Linked DNA regions of Caenorhabditis elegans. The protein of the gene in region 1 purifies or fractionates together with the protein of each later gene. This does not show direct contact. Each region holds a gene or a part of one and is shown on either strand. Other genes may lie near its edges. The genes, in order: gld-1, cey-4, cey-2 and car-1.

The links.
Region 2: the proteins of gld-1 (region 1) and cey-4 purify together in Caenorhabditis elegans (affinity purification with mass spectrometry, with the first as the bait; 2 studies listed by BioGRID). This does not show direct contact.
Region 3: the proteins of gld-1 (region 1) and cey-2 purify together in Caenorhabditis elegans (affinity purification with mass spectrometry, with the first as the bait; 2 studies listed by BioGRID). This does not show direct contact.
Region 4: the proteins of gld-1 (region 1) and car-1 purify together in Caenorhabditis elegans (affinity purification with mass spectrometry; 2 studies listed by BioGRID, with this or other methods). This does not show direct contact.

The regions. Positions count from the first base shown.
Region 1 is NC_003279.8:7,693,769-7,699,334, reverse strand, and holds gld-1 (Female germline-specific tumor suppressor gld-1), read right to left. Parts: upstream 3,655-5,566; 5' UTR 3,640-3,654; coding exon 3,451-3,639; intron 3,400-3,450; coding exon 3,198-3,399; intron 3,152-3,197; coding exon 3,014-3,151; intron 2,969-3,013; coding exon 2,844-2,968; intron 2,799-2,843; coding exon 2,682-2,798; intron 2,634-2,681; coding exon 2,490-2,633; intron 2,445-2,489; coding exon 2,232-2,444; intron 2,189-2,231; coding exon 1,925-2,188; 3' UTR 1,113-1,924; downstream 1-1,112. Other genes in the region: T23G11.10 (uncharacterized protein), read right to left, coding at 298-480, 523-738, 790-899, 944-1,034; T23G11.4 (Hepatocellular carcinoma-associated antigen 59), read right to left, coding at 4,167-4,810, 4,915-4,993. UniProt on the Caenorhabditis elegans protein: RNA-binding protein which recognizes the 5'-UACUCAU-3' RNA consensus sequence. Binds sequences in both the 5'coding and the 3'-UTR region of rme-2 mRNA. Binds sequences in the 3'-UTR region of cye-1 mRNA. Binds to cyb-2.1, cyb-2.2 and cyb-3 mRNA.
Region 2 is NC_003281.10:10,866,160-10,870,733, forward strand, and holds cey-4 (CSD domain-containing protein), read right to left. Parts: upstream 2,545-4,574; 5' UTR 2,461-2,544; coding exon 2,409-2,460; intron 2,363-2,408; coding exon 1,750-2,362; intron 1,221-1,749; coding exon 1,001-1,220; 3' UTR 787-1,000; downstream 1-786. Other genes in the region: oxi-1 (Ubiquitin-protein ligase E3B), read left to right, coding at 77-235, 287-707; vps-50 (Vps54_N domain-containing protein), read left to right, coding at 3,233-3,310, 3,359-3,574, 3,622-4,055.
Region 3 is NC_003279.8:5,617,261-5,621,534, forward strand, and holds cey-2 (CSD domain-containing protein), read left to right. Parts: upstream 1-2,308; 5' UTR 2,309-2,341; coding exon 2,342-2,464; intron 2,465-2,507; coding exon 2,508-2,818; intron 2,819-2,865; coding exon 2,866-3,235; 3' UTR 3,236-3,408; downstream 3,409-4,274. Other genes in the region: xrep-4 (F-box domain-containing protein), read right to left, coding at 1-452, 536-632, 698-777, 826-930, 1,002-1,072, 1,123-1,153; F46F11.7 (Tenascin), read left to right, coding at 3,528-3,589, 3,638-3,743, 3,786-3,856, 3,922-4,013.
Region 4 is NC_003279.8:12,902,307-12,906,821, forward strand, and holds car-1 (Protein LSM14 homolog car-1), read left to right. Parts: upstream 1-2,163; 5' UTR 2,164-2,169; coding exon 2,170-2,415; intron 2,416-2,465; coding exon 2,466-2,655; intron 2,656-2,707; coding exon 2,708-3,151; intron 3,152-3,198; coding exon 3,199-3,341; 3' UTR 3,342-3,734; downstream 3,735-4,515. Other genes in the region: Protein pad-1, read left to right, coding at 1-36; coa-5 (Cytochrome c oxidase assembly factor 5), read right to left, coding at 853-1,143. UniProt on the Caenorhabditis elegans protein: Transcriptional regulator. Involved in modulating embryonic expression of ATP-dependent chaperone cdc-48.1. May play a role in mRNA gene silencing, and RNA granule (P-body) assembly.

The DNA.
Region 1 (5,566 bases):
TTTCGCTTTCTGAAAACAATTATTTAAGAAATAAAAATTGTTGCTTCAAAAATCGTCATTTTTTTATTGATTAAAAAATTGTAACCCAAAAATATTATTGAAAAAATACGATCGCACAATTTTCTCATAATTTATTTTTGATCTACCTTGTTGAATAGGCTCCTCCCCTTCCTTCGACAAGACAGCCACAACAAAATAACAACGGCAACAAGATTGGGGGCGGAGTCAAGTTCAACAGGTAGATCAAAAATAAATTATGAGAAATTTGTGCGATCGTATTTTTTCGATAATAATAGTTCAAGAGTAAATTTCATCAATAGAAGCAATCTTCACACCATCTGCAAGTTTTTGAGTTTTTCGAGCTTTTCTAAACATTAAATTGAATGCAACAATATCTGCAGGACTCCAGAATACACTATTCGCCTTATTTTTGGGAAATACTCCACCCATTTTCAATGTTTTAACCGGGCCAAATCGTTCCTAGAAAATAATTTTTAGTTGTGAAAATATTCGAACCTCCACTTTAGCAATTTCTGCATTTTTCTTTGAAGATTTTTCGAAAGTTTTTCTCTTTACTTCTTCAATTCTCTCTTTTTTATATTCATTCAACGCATTGACCACCGGTTTACTATATTCACACTTTTCAGAAAACATCATTCTTTTACATTCTTCCTCTTTTCTAATTCCTTTAAGTCCTGCAATAAAATCATCGTGCATATGCCAATTTTGAACTGTGCTCTGAAATATTATTATTTAGACGATCCTGATAAAATAACCGATAACAAATACCATTAAATGACGCCTCCGGACGTTTTTTTGTTTCTCAATGTTAACCGAATTGTTCACCAGGAGTAAAAGGAAAATTAACATAATTGCAGCTGCAGGCCATACGAAAAGTTCTGATAATTTTAACTGGCGATTTTTTTTACAGAACATCACATACTGAGTAATTCGATAACTCCATCAACTCTTGGATTATCATCAAAATCCTCTTCGGATTGGAAACAGTTTGAATCCCTGCTCACGTGAAACATTTGAAGAAATGAAAATGTTTCTAACTAATGTTTCCTTTTTAATCGTTTTAAAACATGAACTGGAAGAAAAATTGAATAAAAACTATTTTTTATTATTTTATCTCGCCCTGTATTTCAATTTCAAAATTCAAAATTTTGGTCTCAAAAACAGGGTACCGAGAAAATGGTCAATGTGAAAGACTGCTAAAAATATTAGCTCTTGGACTTGTGCTTAAAATTATAATGGACAGATTGGGAAGGGGTAGGGGTTTAGAATGGGGACTTGGGGCTGGTTTGATGGGGATGTGAGATTTGAACATATCTAACTAGCGGGAAAGAAAATTAAAATCTCAAGTTACTAAAAATTTAGAAAAGATGAAAAATTTTTGATGACTACATCAAACCGGGAAGATTCTACAGGGGTTAGCGTTAAGATAACACAGAAAAATAAAGGGGGTGCTTTGGCATTCGAGGTAGTATGAATGGGTAGGGGAATAGCTGCATCAATAAAAGTATCAATGAGTATTCTCCAAAATGGTTATCCTGATAAGATGTTATTACCGGGGCACCTGCCGTTTTTCTCTGATGTTAAAATATCTTTTCAAGATCTGCGAAGAAAGGGAAAAGATACTTAAAAATCAAAGAGCATATGGTGAAAGCAGCAGGGCGAGTTTAAATTACAGAAAGGAATTAATGGTATTAGGTATCTCATTACATAATTATTACTAACTGTATGTGTATGCTATTCCTAAAGGAGTGAGATGGTAGATACCAATTGATGACATGATAAAGATGGGGGAGATGAGAGGGGGAAAAAATGGCAACATGATGTATGGCACATGATTCTATGGTAACCTAAAATGGTGAGAACGAACAAAACAAAGGGAGTGTGAGTTATAAATGTGAACTTTTTAGAAAGAGGTGTTGTTGACTGAAGAAGCCGAGGGACTTGCTCCACTCGGGGACACATTGGTGTTTGTTTGATTGGCAAAAGAAGATGCAGAAGTGAAAAGACCAGGGAATGAGTTGACAAACGAAGTGGTTGTTGGGTACTTCGGGAACGTCAAATCACTTGCAAGTTGAAGAGAGCTGAATGAATCAAACATGCTCGGGCTCAGAAGCGAGTAATCGAAGACGTTAGATCCGAGAAGGTTGGATGCAGTGAGAGTGGGGCTCTGAAATTAAAAATATGAAACTTAAACTGAAGAACTGTTCTACCAAGATCGATCCTCCAAATGTCGTTGACGGGAGTCCTGATCCAGGAGTTGGCGACATCAAAACTGGACCTGAACTACGTAGTGGAGTTGGAGAGAGCAGAGGAACTGCAGTCATCACACGAGCTGGGTTTGGCGACTTCATTGGACGATACGTACCGTTGATGATTGCAAGTTCCATAAGTTGTTTTCTCTTCAGCTCGTCAGTTCCCTCGGGCTGAAAATAGGTTATTGTAGAGATTTTACGAAGCATATAACTCACAGCCGGAATGAGCAACTTCTTGACCTGTTCGAGTGCTGCTTGCAATTTGATGTGAACACGATTCTCAGTGTCTTCGCATTGCACAAGAACGTGCAGATCGTCTTCGAGATGCTCCCAATTGGCCTTTCCACGGTGAGCACTTTCCTTCAACAACTAAACTTTGTTTTAGATAAAATTGTAACAAGATCAAACCTTTGACTTGTCCCGCATTGATCCCTTTCCTCGGACCATAATCTTGCATCCAGTGTCCTGCTCAAGCTGCTTGGCGGTCATCCCACGTGGGCCGAGAATTCTACCGACGAAGTTATACTGAAATGTTTTAGTTGTTCGAAAACTTGAAATTCGTTAAATTACGTCTGGGTATTCGTTCTTTGGAACATAAATCTTCTCAGTGATCGAAATCATGTCTCCAGCAGGCTCAGGAAGCTCAACTCTCGGAAACTCAGTTTGGAACAAAGCCACGCGGACACGACCGATTTCTAAAATAAAATAATTACTTGTAGGAACACAGAGCGGTTATGTACCATCATCCAACAAACGTTCAACATTGCTGAACATATGAGGAAAGAGCGTAAGATGTTTCTTCTCTTTAACCAGATCAGCCAAGTACTCGACAGTTGCCTCAACCTCGATTGGTTCTGTAGCTGTTGGAGAGAACAGGCCTGAAGAAATTACAGAAAAATAAGTAGACATGAGATTGTTTCATACTCTTGTCCATCGATGATTTTCCATAACTCATTGGAGTTGCAGGAAGAGTCGGGGAAAAGATACTTCTGCTCTTTGGATTGAACATGGCTGGCGACAAAAGCGAATTAGGTGTTTGACTGTAAGCGCTCGAAATCGGGGACATGATGTGTCTGTTGTTCGTCGATAGCGTCAGACGAGCTGGTGGTGGCGCTCTAACAGAGCTCTGAAAATTTTTTATTACTGTAATTGATGAACAAAATGAAAATTCGCGTACCCATCCGTCTCGCCGAGTTGACGGCCAACGATCCGCTGGAACATTGTCGATGATGGGGAATCTCTTCCGTGGACTATTGTCTCCATCCAGAGACGTTGGCGTCATAACGGACGAACGAGATGGCGATTCAGAGCTTTGGCTTTCTAGTTGGGTCGAAACACCGTAAGTTGGAGTGGTGCACGACGGCATTCTTCGATGGTTAACCTGTAAGAAAACTTAGTAATAATATATTTTTCAATAACGTAACGACATAAGCTTAAACTCTGCGGCGATTCGCTCATCTAGCTTATCTAACGAATATTCACTAGAATTTCGGAATGAAACATTCGAGGAAAATGTGAAAGTGGTCATATTCAAATAGAAATAATTATTTCTAAAATTTTTAGATGAAACGAAATATAAAACAACCAAAAAGCATCGAAAAAATAAAACTCTAAAAAGTTTTGAGGTGAAGTCCTAAATTTCGAAACTTTTACCGTATACCTGTTTGCGATCGCTGCGAGACCCATACGTCGCGGTGCAACATGTTCCTTTAAGTTCCAGAAATGCGCGCACGGGTGGCGAAACGGCAGGAATTGGCCACGCCTATTAAGCCGTGCGCTGATTTGCATGAGGCTTTTCAGAATTTAATTGAATACTTTCAATTCAGAGTTTTATAAAATGAATCGAATTTATTTAAACAGGAAAATAAATAAAAAACACTTGTGTATCTCAATTTATCGACGCTGGTTGTTGAAACGTCTTCGATATTTTGGTTTTGATTCTTCACATTCTTCAATTGGTGGTGGAAGACCTGCAGCTTCAGCAGCAGATATTTGAAGAAGGAATCGTTTTTTCTTTTCAGTCTCCAAGATATTGGTGATACGAGTGCTAATTCCCAGGTCCACTTCTGGGATTCCTGCGAGCATATGCTCTGAAAGCAATTCTGTCTCCTTTTTGCTTTGATTTCCCTTCACTTTTCCAGCAGCTTGTTTCAAAAGCTCTACATCACGATCTTCTGCATTCAGCGATGAAAATTTAGCTGCAGCTGATGAAGAAGGTTGTTTCTGTTTTTCAATTTTAGAAGTATCAGCTGTATATTCTTGAAGTCCGTCATCAATATATTTCCTTAATTCTTCATGTTCATCTCTCAGCATTGTTTCCTTCTCGAATTGTTCTCGGAGTCCTTGTTCAATGCTTGCAGCTTCCATTGCTGCCTTCTTTTTACTTGTCATCACCATTCCGCCACCAGCCATTTGAATTCCATCCTCGAGAGCTGCAGCTTTTGAAATTCCAACTGCGCATTCTAATTCTGTGAGACCATTTTTCCTTTCTCGTGATCGTTGAAGATCTCGAATATCGGAAACTCTTGACGACTCTTCTGGAAAAAAAAATTTAGAACATTAAAAATTTTAATGCATGTTATGCTCTTAAGTTATCATTTGCTTTAAAAACAATTATTTTATCAGATTAAAAATTAAATACCATCAGCAGCAACGTCGTCGTCTTCTAAAATTTTCCTTTTTTGAATTTTTGATTTTGGTTTTCTGAAGATATCGGCCATTGTGTTCGTTGATGCTTAAAGTTTAAAAATTAAATAGCATTCAAATTTTAGAAAAAAGTTTTCAAAGTGTAAATGTAACATTTTTCTGAATCAGAACAGTTTTTCAAATAATCAAACTGTGTGAGATTGTTGGATGCAATAAAATTTATACATATCTGGTCACATCGGTACAGAAAAACTGGGATTACTGAAAAAGAAGTTGTGAAAAAGTTTTGATTTTGTGAAAAACAAGACCCAAATGATAAAAAATTATCAAAAAAAGTGAAAACAAATGACATGAAAAGTGAAGATGGTAAAGAGAAATTATGCCCGGATTTTTTGTGATTAAAGTTAACAAAAACGAATGATAAAGCTAATATAAATGTCAAAAAGAAGGGGAGTGTGAGTTAGGGGTAGATATGGAATATGGAAAATATGCACATTTATTGACTTGAGGAAGGAAAAGACTAAGAATTATTGATTGATTCCACTTAATTCTGCAAATGTGCCCTATTGATATGCAAAAATAATTTTGAAAGAAATACAGTACTTTGTGAAAATATATTATAAAAAAGAAGCACATTCGAATTCCCC
Region 2 (4,574 bases), on another chromosome or scaffold:
GGTCAGGAAATTCAATTTTTTTTTCCGAAATTTTGAAAACGAAATTCTAATTTAAATAATTTGCCCCCATTTTCAGAATCGACTATGTGCACCGAATGGCTCATCACCGAGTATTCCGACGAACCCAGGAACAGTGCAAGGCGTTCGTCACCGGAATGCAATCGATCCTTCAGCCGACGTGGCTGTCACTGTTCGCTCCGAATGATTTGCAATGTCTGATTAGTGGAGTCAATTCGTGAGCATAATATATACCATTAATTTGAAATTTCGAGAATTAATATTCCAGAGACATCGATCTGGCGGATCTGAAGCGCAATGTGCAATATTTCGGAGGATTCCATGGAAACCATCGGCTTATTAAATGGCTTTGGGATATTCTTGAGAACAAGTTCACTTCAGAAGAGAGGAAACTGTTCCTAAAGTTTGTCACTTCTTGCTCGAGACCTCCTGTTCTTGGATTTTCGTATCTCGAGCCGCCCTTCTCCATTCGATGCGTTGAAGTTTCCGACGATCAGGATCAGGGAGACACCTTGGGAAGTGTGGTTCGTGGATTCTTGGCTTTGAGAAAGGGAACTGCAGCTACTCGACTTCCAACTGCGTCCACCTGCTTTAACTTGCTAAAGCTTCCGAATTACAATAAGAAGTCACTGCTGCTCGAGAAACTTCGTTACGCGATCCACGCTGGGACTGGATTCGAGCTTTCCTAAATTCCTAATTATTTATTACATATTTTTATTGCTTACTGGTAGTTTGAATTTGATTTCTATAAAACAATGAACAGAATCATTTGCATTGAAACTTTTACTTAATATAAACTCAAAAAGTTCTCGAAATTGAATTCCAAAGAACTGAGTGGATATAAATCGTGCAGAACAAATTTTGGAAATTTTGGGCTTTTCGAAAGGATCAGCTATACAATTCAAGAAATGGGACTGTTCTCAATACAAAAGGTGTTTAATTAGATAACAAAAGTTGATGGTAGGTGTCAACAGCTAGAAGCCTAAGCTTTAGCTGGAGCAGCGGTCTCTTCCTTCTGCTCAGTGGTGGTGGTGGGCTCTTTATTTCCCTTGCGCTGACGTTTCTTCTTCTTCTCGGCGGCTGGAGCAGCATCGGTAGTGGCAGCGGCAGCATCACCGTCTCCCTTCTCGCCGGATGGAGCATCTGGCTGGAGCTTTCCGTGGCGGCGAGTGCGACGCTTTCCGCGAGTTTCTCCGTCTCCGCTGAAAAATTGTAATTTTAGAGTTAAAATTCCAGTTTTAAATGGAACGTATAGACCAGGGGTGTGCGGCAAATTTGCCGAATTTGCCGAGCTCGGCAAATTTTGAGATTTGCCGCACACCCCTGGTATAGACCCAAAATGTGCAAATTGCATAATAAAACTTCTTTAAAATTTGAAAAAATGGGCTAACGTCCAATTTGGCCACTTTCTGTCCAAAAATGATTTTTTTTTTCGGAATTATCTACCTTTATTGCATATTTTGCTCGTTTATCTCACATTATTTCGTTGATTAAAGTAGTTTTTACACCAATAGGTAACCAAAAATGCCAAAAATCAACGAACTAATATGAGATAAACGACTAAAATATGCAATAAAAGCAGATGATACCGAAAATATCAACTTTCGGCGGCCACTTTGAGATTTTACTTAATTTCAGCCCATTTTTCATTTTTTTTTTTAAATAAATCGGTTTATTTGAGCGCATTTTGAGCCTAAAAACACCAGAACCGTTACTAAAAGCTAGACTAACCTATTCTCAATGGTGTCCGACTTCTCCTTCTCATCTTTCTCATCTCCGTCCTGGTCACGTGTCTGACGTGGAGCACCACGTCCTCGTCCACCGCGTCCTCGTGCACCACCACGTCCTCTTGTTCTCCAATGGGTGAGCAAAGTACGAGCGAATCTCGATCCACGAACATTCTCCCCATCTGGTCCAGTCACGTTGGCGGCTTCTGGTCCTTTGAGTCCTTCGACAATGTCAAAGACGACTGGCTCATCGTCATCGAGAGTTCTGAGATAGAACTTAATGGTGCTTGACTTGGTGATGGCGGTCTGATGGACGAAGAAGTCCTCATTCTCGTCGGTTGGCTTATCACGAGCAACGAATCCGTAGCGTCCACGAACGGAGAACCATTTGACGTGTCCTTTGACACCGGTCTCGATGACCTTCTTCGATGCAAGATCCTCCTCGAGCTTCTTCATCTGATCCTCATATGGTGGTCTTGGTTGGTAGAAGTGTCCTCCGCGACCACGACCACGTCCTCGTCCGCGGAATCCGCCACGACGTGCTGGCTGCTTTGCATCGTTCGCCTCGTTGGTAGTGTCGACGGCCAGGTTGTCCAATTTCTCGGTCACCTCGGCAACTGCAATTTGAGGGATTAAATATTGAAGACCACCTGTCCTACTCACCTTTGTCCTTCTTCTCCTCAATAGTTGTTCCGTTAGCTTGTTCAGTCGACATGATGTTTCACGGCGTTGGCCTTAGTTTTTGATGGTGTCAAGGGGGTGAGGAAAATCCTCTGAGCTGATTGTACTCAACTACACTCTGCAAAAAAAAAAAATTAAATATAAACATCGAATGCAAATGTGCCACACAAAGGGTGTGGTGGAAAATGACACGACAGAACGATCGATAAGTCAAATTGACATGGGGCGGAAATGTTATCATCCGATTAAAAAGTGCTAAGCGCCGTTGTTTTTTTTTCAAATTTATTGGAAATCGGAACGAACTTAATGGAAAAAATCGGGGAAATATTGCAAAAAAGCTCTTACAATTTCGAAATATATCGAGAATTTTAGGATATTTCCTCATATTATCACAATTTTTCTGTTTAATATTCAATTTAACGCCAAAAAACCGAAGAAACGACGGCAATTTTCAATTTTTCACCAAAAAATAAGAAAGAACTAATAAAAATCGACTGCCAAGAAGGGAGAAAACGTCTTATTTGAAAAATGGTGCTGTGCTCGCAATAGAGAAACGCGCGCGCATTGCAAGGAAACGCAACACCCTGGCACACTTTTTCTCGGATTTACTCTTTCTTATCCGCTTTTAGCTTCCTCTTTGGGAAAAATCGATTGGAATAATTAGATTTTCGAGTGGTTTTTCACAGGATTTACAGAAAAATCGATACTGCTACTTGAAATTTAAATTAATTTTGCTTGCTTCCGCTGGTTTTTTAAATTAAAATACTAACAAATTAACAATTTCAGAGGTGAAAGCTTGGCGAGAAATGGACCGATTTAAGGAACAACTAGCAAAAACTGTTAATCAAATAGGCGAACAATTTTCTTCGGATAGCGATGTAAAAGTGGGAATTTTTTCAAGGAAAATGTCAAATATTAAATCGACTTTTCAGGTTTTATTAGATAATATGAACGAGAAAGTTATGAGCTCTTACGATGCTCCGTCGTGCTCGGAAAGCCCTCCAATAGCTCCAGAGAGTAATTCACAAAACTCAACGCCTCGGAGAGTAAAATCAAAAATTTCCGAGGAAGATGACGTCATCAACTCGATAGACGCCGCGTATTTTATAGATAACGATGAGTTCGATGCGATTGACTATGAATTGAAGGTTTAGTGGAACAAAAAACCAAGTAAAACGAAAATTTTAACTTTTAGAAGCTCTGTGACATCGAAATGTGCTACGAGGACATCCAGCGCGAGAGGTTTCGGCTAAAATCTCAGCATACTGTGGTTTCCAAGAAAATATCCACACTAATCATGCAAAAATCTTCATCCTACACGGCACAGGTCGGTGAAATGGAGAAAATCCGAGACGAAGTCGGAAGTGTTATCAACGAAATTCTGACGATACGAAAAGCGCTCGCGCTGGCGACAAGCCAAACTCGGACGTGTCTCGGATTAATCGCTTATAAAAATAAGAAAATCGTTCTAAATCAGCTGAAAATGACGCTCACAACGATAAAAGGCTTCCACGAGACCGAACAGCACATTCGAGAAACTATTGAAGAAGGAAATTTCCCGCTTGCAATTCAAATGCTAATCGAAACTCAAATAAAAGCCGGGGGATACGCTCATTTTACATGTGTAAAGTAAGTATTAAATGGATTTTTGAATGAAAATGAGAAAAAAAAAATGCTCAAAAATCGAAAAAAGCGGCTGAAAATTCACATTTTAAGCTAAAAATCCCAAAAACTTTCGAAGACCTTTTAAAGGCGCACGTGTTTTTCAAGATGGGTCTCGCAGCGAAAAAGGTTTATGGTAATTATTTTTTAAACATTTTCTTTAAGTTTTGAATTATTCTTGTTGAAAATGATCATTTTTTTACCGTTTTAAGCCGATTTTTTGGGCAAAAATAGGTGGAAATCAATATAACGCCTGAAATTTAAACGTGGAAAATAGTTTTAAAGTGAAAAAACGATTTTTTTTGTTAATAACTCAAAAACTAAAAAATGTTCGAAAAATGTAGAAACTTACTTTAAATTATTCAATCTAAAAAAGCTTAAAATTTTGACCAAATTTGGCTTAAACTAACTTTTTTGAATGTTAAATTCTTCAGAACTTACTTCAATAATGTGAAATATTTCACAATTTGTAGAGAATAAATCAAA
Region 3 (4,274 bases), 2.1 Mb from region 1:
ATATTTTTCCAGCAGACGCCAAGCACTTGTCTCACAATTGTATCCAAATCAATTATTGGCGAAGTTATATGCAATCGTTCCAGGGATCTCCTGCCCTCTTTCCATTCCTGAATCATTTTGGCAATGCAATTGGATGTAATGAATTCACTGTGTAAACGAATATTGTGTGCAGATAAAGAATAAAGTTGATGATCTTGAATGTTGCTGACCAGGGACCAAAGGATCACACTGCGGGCGTACTTGAACTTGTCAATGTCAAATACTGCAGTTTCCATTCCTCCGTGGTCATTTGCCAACAATGATATATCTTGTCCTTTGTTTTTTGGAGCTGTCAATGCTTTTGTTACTAAACGATAGTCGTTTGTTCTGATGTTAAAACTTCGGACGGCGATATTTGTTTTTACTTCAGCCATTCCTTCTTCCCAGATGCTTGATAATCCTTCGAAACATGGCTGAAAATTAATTGAATTTTTGTTAGCTGATACTACAGCTGATAAGCCATGGTTTAAACCAATCTATCTCTACCACAACTTACAATTTCGATGACAATACTCTTAATTTTTGAGAATCTCCAAATACGTAAAAACGCTCGCATAGCTTCTGCAGTATGATCGGGGCATTCAGTTTGACGTCTGAACATTTATTAAGACTTTGAATTTTCTCTTTTAATTTGAAGTTTTGAACAAAGAATACTCACAGTGAGGTTCCTCGAAACTCCACCATTCTGCTCACAACTCTTCCAATCTCATTTTTCCATTTCATTATCAGAATAGTTTTCTGAAAATAACTGGGTTGAATAAACAAAGTAATTCAATTAAAACTAACAGCTGTAGAGGGAAGCTCCGTAATTCCGAGTTCGTGAAGCTTATTTGGAAGAGTTGAGCATATCTGAGAGTTTTCCCAGCTGACCAACATCATGTTTTGTTTATCCTGCAAACGGATTTTTTCTTTATCTAACTGATTTGATGGAAATTTGAGCAAAATGATTTCGCAACACTTACTGGGAATGGTAGTCGAGTGAGAATATTTCTGCGTATTTCTCGTGGCAAGTGCTTCCATCCAGCCTCTTCTTCTATAATTTGGCAATTTCAGATTTATCTTCATTATTAAGCATTAACTAACCCTCGAAATCCATTATTTCTTCCAGTGCCATTTTGAGTAGAATGGAACAGCGGAAAGAGAAGAAAATCGGCAGAAAAAACGGGAACCTCACGCCCAGAGGCAAGAGACCCAGAGATGTAAAGAGAGGCCGTTTGAGAAAGAATATCAATGGCGCAGGTCGATCAGAGACATGAAAATAACACAATATAAAATGAGGATGCACAGAAAAGACGTGGAGGATAGAAAATGAAGTTGGAGAGAATGGACGATTTGAAAATCAATTTTTTGAGAGTACTGTGCGAGTATTATGACGTCAATTTCTGGAAAGGGCAGAGTACATTAGTTTTTAGAAAGCATGAACAACATCACGGAGAACATTAACTAAAGTCACCATTAAAAAAACAAAATTGGAAATAGAAATTCCGAATTCGTTTGAACATTTATAATGAACACTCGTTGTACTAATTGGAGGCAGGATTAAACACATTTAGATTGTCACACGGGGCCTAAAGCGTTTTTATATTCTTAAAGTAATCTCTTAATGTATAAAAAAGAGACATTTCCCTTAAATTGGAAAGTTAAGGAGTGTCACAATAGGAAACAACTGGAAAACAATTGAGAAAATCTAAACTTTAGAACTTAATTCCATTTTTTCTATCTCAATTCCGTAACTTTCAAAAAATCATAATACGCTTTACGAGGGAATGTTAAATAATGAAATATTTTAGAATTTCAGTGATTATTATAAACTATTTAATACCAACAATACTATCCATATCAATCAGTTAAACAATCGTTTAAAAATTCAAGACAGTGATGACAAAATGATAGAAAATAGTAAAATAGCATATTGCAAAACAATCTGATACAAATTTGACGAAAAGAATCCAAAAATTGTTTAGGAATTTCCTAACCATGCATTGCGTTTGAAACACCGCGCGAAGTTAGATGTGCAGGTTACCGGGTTACTGTAGTACGGGACCCATTAGCTTCGCAGATGCGCGGCCCAAAACATTCATTTCGATTTTGCAGCTTGAAGTTCACGCGCCGTGAGCTGTTTTTCTCATTTCTAAATTTTTTTGCTGCTGATTTTCGACTTTAGTTTTGGTTACGTTTTTGAGCATGAGCACATAGCTTCTGTTAAATATTCTTTTTAATCTTTACCCAATTTTTGTTTAATGACTTATTAAAAGTTACCCTCTTACAGTCAACCTCACTTGCTTCAACCAAATTTACGACTATGTCGGACACCGCAAACGCCGCTGTCGAAATCGGAGAGGAAGCTCTCGAGCAGAAGCTCGAAGAGCTCTCTGTTCAAGATAAGACAACGCCAAGCAACAGCGAAGAGAAGATGCGTAAAAGAGTATGTTACACATTTAAATTAATTTAGTAATTACTTAATTTAGCGTCTGCCGACTGCTGAGCGCATCCGTCTGTGGGAAGAAGAGCAGAAGTCGAAGACAGCCATTACCACCGGACTTCAAGGAAAAGTGAAATGGTATTCTGTTCTCCGTCGCTATGGCTTCATTTCTCGCAACGATGGCGAAAAGGACATCTTTGTTCACCAGACAGCCATTGCCAAGTCAGCCACTGAAAAGTTCTACCTCCGTACCCTCGGGGACGATGAAGAGGTTCTCTTCGATCTCGTCGAGGGAAAGAATGGCCCAGAAGCTGCTAACGTAACAGGACCCAACGGAGACAATGTCATTGGATCGAGGTGAGGGTTTATATTGACCATGGAAGTTTTTAAATCCTATTTTACAGATACCGCCACAAGCTTCTCTCTCGCTTCCGCAAGAACCGCAAGCCCAGAGCTTCTGTCGATGGAGAGGAATCCCAGTCGACCGATGCCAAGCCACAGGAGATGTCGGCGGATGCTGAGAAGAAAAAGCCAAGAAAGCAACGCAAGAACAGAAATCGCAAGTCGAAGGCCCAACAGAAAGGAGCTGGTGATGCCGCTGATTCATCGGCTGTCACTGAATCTTCCGAATCTGCTTCTGACGTTGCTTCTCCAGACTCCAAATCTTGTTCCAAGATCATCACAGAGGAAGCTGGACTTTCCAAGGTTGACCGTTGCGACTCTGCACTTGGAGAAGCCGGCCTAGGAGCCCAGCCAATCGATGCTCAGATTTAAGATCCATTAATGCTTATTTCTCAAATTTGTACCTTTGTACATATACATAGTACACTTTATCATATTCCCAATTTATGCATGCTATTGTAAGTCCCTATCCCTCTTGTTCTTCAATGCCACATTGCCTCAGCTTGTAATGAGAAAACCTCTCAATAAAACCGTTTACCGGTAAATTGAATGTTTATTTCATAACAATGACTCATCATATCAGCTTCTCAAATCTTATCAGTGAGATATCTCTGATGAAAATAGGTCACCAATTCTTATTCGGCATATTGATTAGTTTCGTACAATGATTCGCATAGGACGACTGTTTTTATTCTGTTCTTTTATTTTGCACATTGCGGCAGAAAGGTGAACGAATCATGAGCAATAGTGAGAAATACAATTTCGTCTATTCAGATGTCCGCCTGTTTTCGGTGAGTATGAGTGCCCAGTTGGATTTACTTGTGAAGAGAAGCAATGCTTTGGTAGGAACAAATCCCCATCTACATTCTGTTCATTCGAGGTTTTCAAGTTTTGATGAATATTTTCAAAACGTTTAGTTTAGGTAGAATGTCGAGAGGGATTCGTTTGTTCTGAAGGAAAATGTTATCCAATCACTTCAGTGAAATGCAATCGGTACAGTTAATTTCTGAATAAGGAATGATAACAACTTGTCAGAGCAAATAAAACACAATTTTCAGACACGTATTGGTAGCTGAAGGTTCAGCTCGAAGCATAGTCTCCGATTGTGGAAAACATGGAAAATGCGTCAACGGGCAGTGCATTTTGAATAGTGGGTATTTTTATAAATTAGTTTTAAAAACTAGTTTTCTCGTACATATTACAGGAACACGAAATTCTGAGAATGCGTATTGCGCAACATATTTGACGCGCAAAATATCTCGTAGCGAAAACTACAGTAATGCTTCAAATGACTACTGTAGCGCTGGTGTCGATTTACGGAAAAGGGCAAAAAAGAGGCCCCACGAAAAGGGGAGCAGAACGAAAAGGGGATCTGCAAAAAGGGGAGATACGAAAAGGGGAGCAACGAAAA
Region 4 (4,515 bases), 5.2 Mb from region 1:
CTCTACGTGGATTTTTCTGAACATTTGCAATTTTAAAAGTGTCTGTGGAAATGGAAATATCATTCTAATTATTGATTATTGCTTTAAAATTCCCCCGTTTTTCTCCTAATATCATTTTTTTTCGTGTACATATCTCGTGGAAATTGTGGAAATTCTCCATTTTCACCAATTTTCCGCTTCAAAAATCCCACCCTTTCCCCCTCCCCGCCTGTGATACAAAAATCGATTCATTTCTTTCTTTCCCCGGATTTCTTTTTTTTTGTTCCAGATTTTATTTATTCTTCCGCTGCTACTGGGTAGGCAACATTTTTATTTCCAACTTTTTTCGACTTTTTTTTGTTCCAATTCCGAGTGTTTCCCTGATTATCGATCGAAATCCCCCAGATATACGATTTATTGCAATTTCTTTAATTTTTTCTGCGTTCCTTCTCTTCTCCCCGTCACTGCTTTCGTATTATTATTACTGTTCCTATACATGATGAAATAAATATACACGTTTGATTGGGTTCTTTGCTTCCTTTTTTGGAAGTTTTTAGAACAACTGGCAAGAAAATGGCGAAGAATGTGCGAAATTTCGGATTCAAGTGGGCGAAAATTCGAAAATTTCGAATTTTTTGACAAAAGTCGAGAGTTCCGGAGTCATATGGCAGCCAATTAGGCGAAAAGTTCAATATTTTGCGGGAAATTCCCAAAAGCCGAATCCACAGGCCCAGCTTAGCGATACGATGATAATTCTCAAGTTTTTAACACATTCTTCCTGGAAAATAGATTTATACACGTATTATATTATAGAGAAAGCTGAAATCCTAAAAAGAAAGTAACAAAAAATATGAAAATTTTCGAATTATTCGCTCAAAGATCGCCCTTCCTTCCTCGGAATCTCGATCTCATGTCCACCAGTGATCGCTTGCAGTCGGTGAAATTTTGGAGAACGGCGAAACATTTGTCGGGTACACTTCCGTCGCCACGTGCATCGATGCATTCCTTCGCAGATCGAGCTTGAACTTGCACACAATGCGAGTTTTTGATGCATTTTTTGAGTGCTTGACGTAGACGATCACACGATACACCGGTCTTCTTTATCTCGTTGAATTCGTCTTCTTCAAATTGTTGGGATTGGGAGTGTGCGGTGATTCCGGCCATTTTTCGCGGGAGTTTGCCTGAAAAATCGAATAAAAATTGATTTTAGAAGATATAACTAGTTTTAAACAATAAAATTTAAGTAAATTTCAGTCTTTTTCACAATTTTATCACAAAAAAACGAGAAAATTCAATAAATTCGCACAAAAATTGATTTTATTTCATTTAAATTTTGAAAAATAATTAGTGTCGATTTACGGAGTTGGCACGGTGCCAAGATTTGCAGAATCGTGGCGAGACCCACAAAAACCTATAGCAAAACATGCGCCTTTAAATGGGATTGGGGTGCAGCGCCATTTTAGGATTTTTGTTGTTTTCTTCGCAAAATTGTTGATTTTTCGTTATTTTTTTTGATTTTCTAGGGAAATTTTCAATGTTTTATTGCTAAAATAATTATTTTTGACGTGATGAACTTAAAGTTACAGCTTAGAATCATTAAATTTTGCGAATTTTGATAGAAACTTCCCATTTTTTGTGATTTTCAAGTTTGAGCTTACCTTTTATTTCTTCTGCCGATTTTTAGCTGTTTGAGAAGTTCAATTAGTGAGTTTTCGGTTCTTAATACTCAAAATTATTTTTACTGCAATGGTACGGCCGTGGCTGCGCAGTACCTCATAAAATAAGTGGGCAGACGGATGCAATCACGCTCCATCGGCGCAGAATCGATAACGATGACGGCTTCGCATTTTACTTTTAAACTTTTGCAGCTTTTCCCACTTCTTATAAGAAATTAGGGCTTTAAACTGTCAGTGTTATCCTTGTATATTATCGTTGATGTTCCTCTAAGACTTATTGACACCTCCGTATCGATTTTAGGCCAATTAGGTTAATTTCTAAGGTTTCTCGACACAATTGAGATCGCTTCGACATTTTTCGTAGTATTCCGCAAGATTTTGTTTTAGGATTGATAGAAGCGCACATTTACACGGTTTCAGTTGTTAATTTATTCTCCTATTCCCGACAATATTGCTCTTCGTCTTTCTTCAAACGTTGTGAAACTTAAATTATATTACATTTTTGCAGGTAATAATGTCGAATCAAACACCGTACATCGGAAGCAAGATTAGTCTGATCTCCAAGCTCGACATCCGTTACGAGGGAATCCTCTACACCGTCGACACCAACGACTCTACCATCGCGTTGGCCAAGGTTCGCTCGTTCGGAACCGAGAAGCGTCCAACTGCTAATCCGGTCGCCGCTCGTGATGATGTCTACGAGTACATCATCTTCAAGGCCAGCGACATCAAGGATTTGATCGTTTGTGATACTCCGAAGGCGAGTTGCCGGATAATCGAGCTTCATTGATCTAAATAATGTCTTTTCAGATGGCCAACATTGGAGGAGGGCTTCCATACGATCCAGCCATCATCTCTGTCTCCTCGAGATCAGCCCCAGCAAGTGACGGAGCTCCAGCTGCCTCTGCAGGTTCTTCCAGAGCCGGAACGCCATCCCGTAACAGTCCGTTAGGCCAAATCATCCAAAATCAACGTCCAGGACGTGGAGGTTATCAGCAAAGTCAGTTTTATTTTCTTTCAAATCAACTCTGGATTTATGATCATGTTTTCAGACTTCCAAGCTAACCGTGGATACAACAACTACCGCGGAGGATTCGCTGGCGGATACAACAACCAAAGAGGGCACAACAATTATGGAGTTCCTCGAGTTAATCACCGCGAAAAGCTGAAGTTCGAATCGGACTTTGACTTCGAGAAGGCCAATGAGAAGTTCCAAGAAGTTCTCGTCGACAACCTTGAGAAGCTCAACATTGAGGATAAGGCCGAGCCAGAAGTTGAGGAGAAGAAGGATGCTGCCTTCTACGACAAGAAGACTTCATTCTTTGACAACATCAGCTGTGAATCACTGGAGAAAGCCGAAGGAAAGACTGGACGGCCAGATTGGAAGAAGGAGAGAGAAACGAATCAGGAGACGTTCGGACACAACGCAGTGCGTTCGTTGAACTACCGTCGTGGATTCGGAGGACGAGGACGTGGTGGAAACCGCGGATATGGAGGTATAGTTCCACTTTAGAAGTTACAACGTCTTATGCTCAATTTTCAGGTTACAACAACGGATACCAGCATCAACACCAGCACCGTGGAGGATACAATGGAGGTTATCGTCAGAACAACGGTGGATACCGTCGTGGTGGATATGCTCCACGTGACAACCAAGGCAATACTGCCGCAGCTGCCGAACAATAAGTTCGAATTCCCTGAAATTGTTTTCTCCCCACATCCCCATACCCCGATATTAGCCGTTTGTTAATTTATTATGTAAGTTTATCCATTCTCCCCCCCCCCCCATCAATGATTACCCTTGTCTCTTCTCAACTATTGGCGTGTTATAAGAAACCCGTTAATTATTTAGAAATCTCGTACGATTCAATGCGGGCCTTCTGTTATTTTGTAATAATTATTGCGCACCCACCCACCGACACACATCTCCCATCCAAAAAATTCCCAATGTTTTTTCTTCCCCCACTACAATAGTGATTGGACCCTTCCCCCGTTTTTTTAAGTTCTAGCTTGTGAATTTTAAAGCATGTCGTTCTGTTGTCCTCAGTTTGTCATTTTAATAAAATTGCAGTGACTAAACTGTCAAATCGTTTGCACCTGCTCTCCTATCATCCCACACCCCGCCTTTTATGATTGTCTTCTAGGAGATATGAAATTGTTTTTAAGATCTTCTCTTAGATTTGCTATAATATTGCAAACCCTTCATTCTTAGGTAGACAAGCCCTGAGAAATTGTGATTTCCCCGTATAAACTTTTTGTTTTGTATCATTGCTTCGATGTTTTCTTTCTACAACTTGGAAGCCAGTTGGACATGTAAGGTGTCAAAAAATATTGGTATAAGTTTGCTGTAATTTCAAAAAGTTCGATAGTTGTTCTGGCGACTAAATACGTAAAGAATAGCTAACAAATGTTACTTTATAAAAACTATTCAGCGAAACTGATTGAAGTGAACACATTAAAGAAATAAATTAAACATTAAAAGAGAAAATACATAATAAAATTATTCCTTGGTGATCTCGAACTTCCAGGGGCTAAAGTCGATTTTGACGCTATGCCCTTTGAAGAGACAGCGAATAGTTCCCTTAACTCCTCCATCTCGGGAAATTTCGAATCCAGAGGCATTCGGATCGAAAACTCTCGCAGCGTCCAAACTCATACCCATGCAGAATTCCCATTTTTTGAAATTTGTGGACTTCATGAGGCACTGAAAAGTTATTTGAACTAGTTACAAGCAGTGTAGGTGGAATAACTTACATTTTTGATTTCAACAGCCTTTCCAACAGTAACCAATTTGGCATAGCGATGATAATTCCATAAATAGCCAAACGTCGACGGTATTCCAGGAGCACATTGATCACGG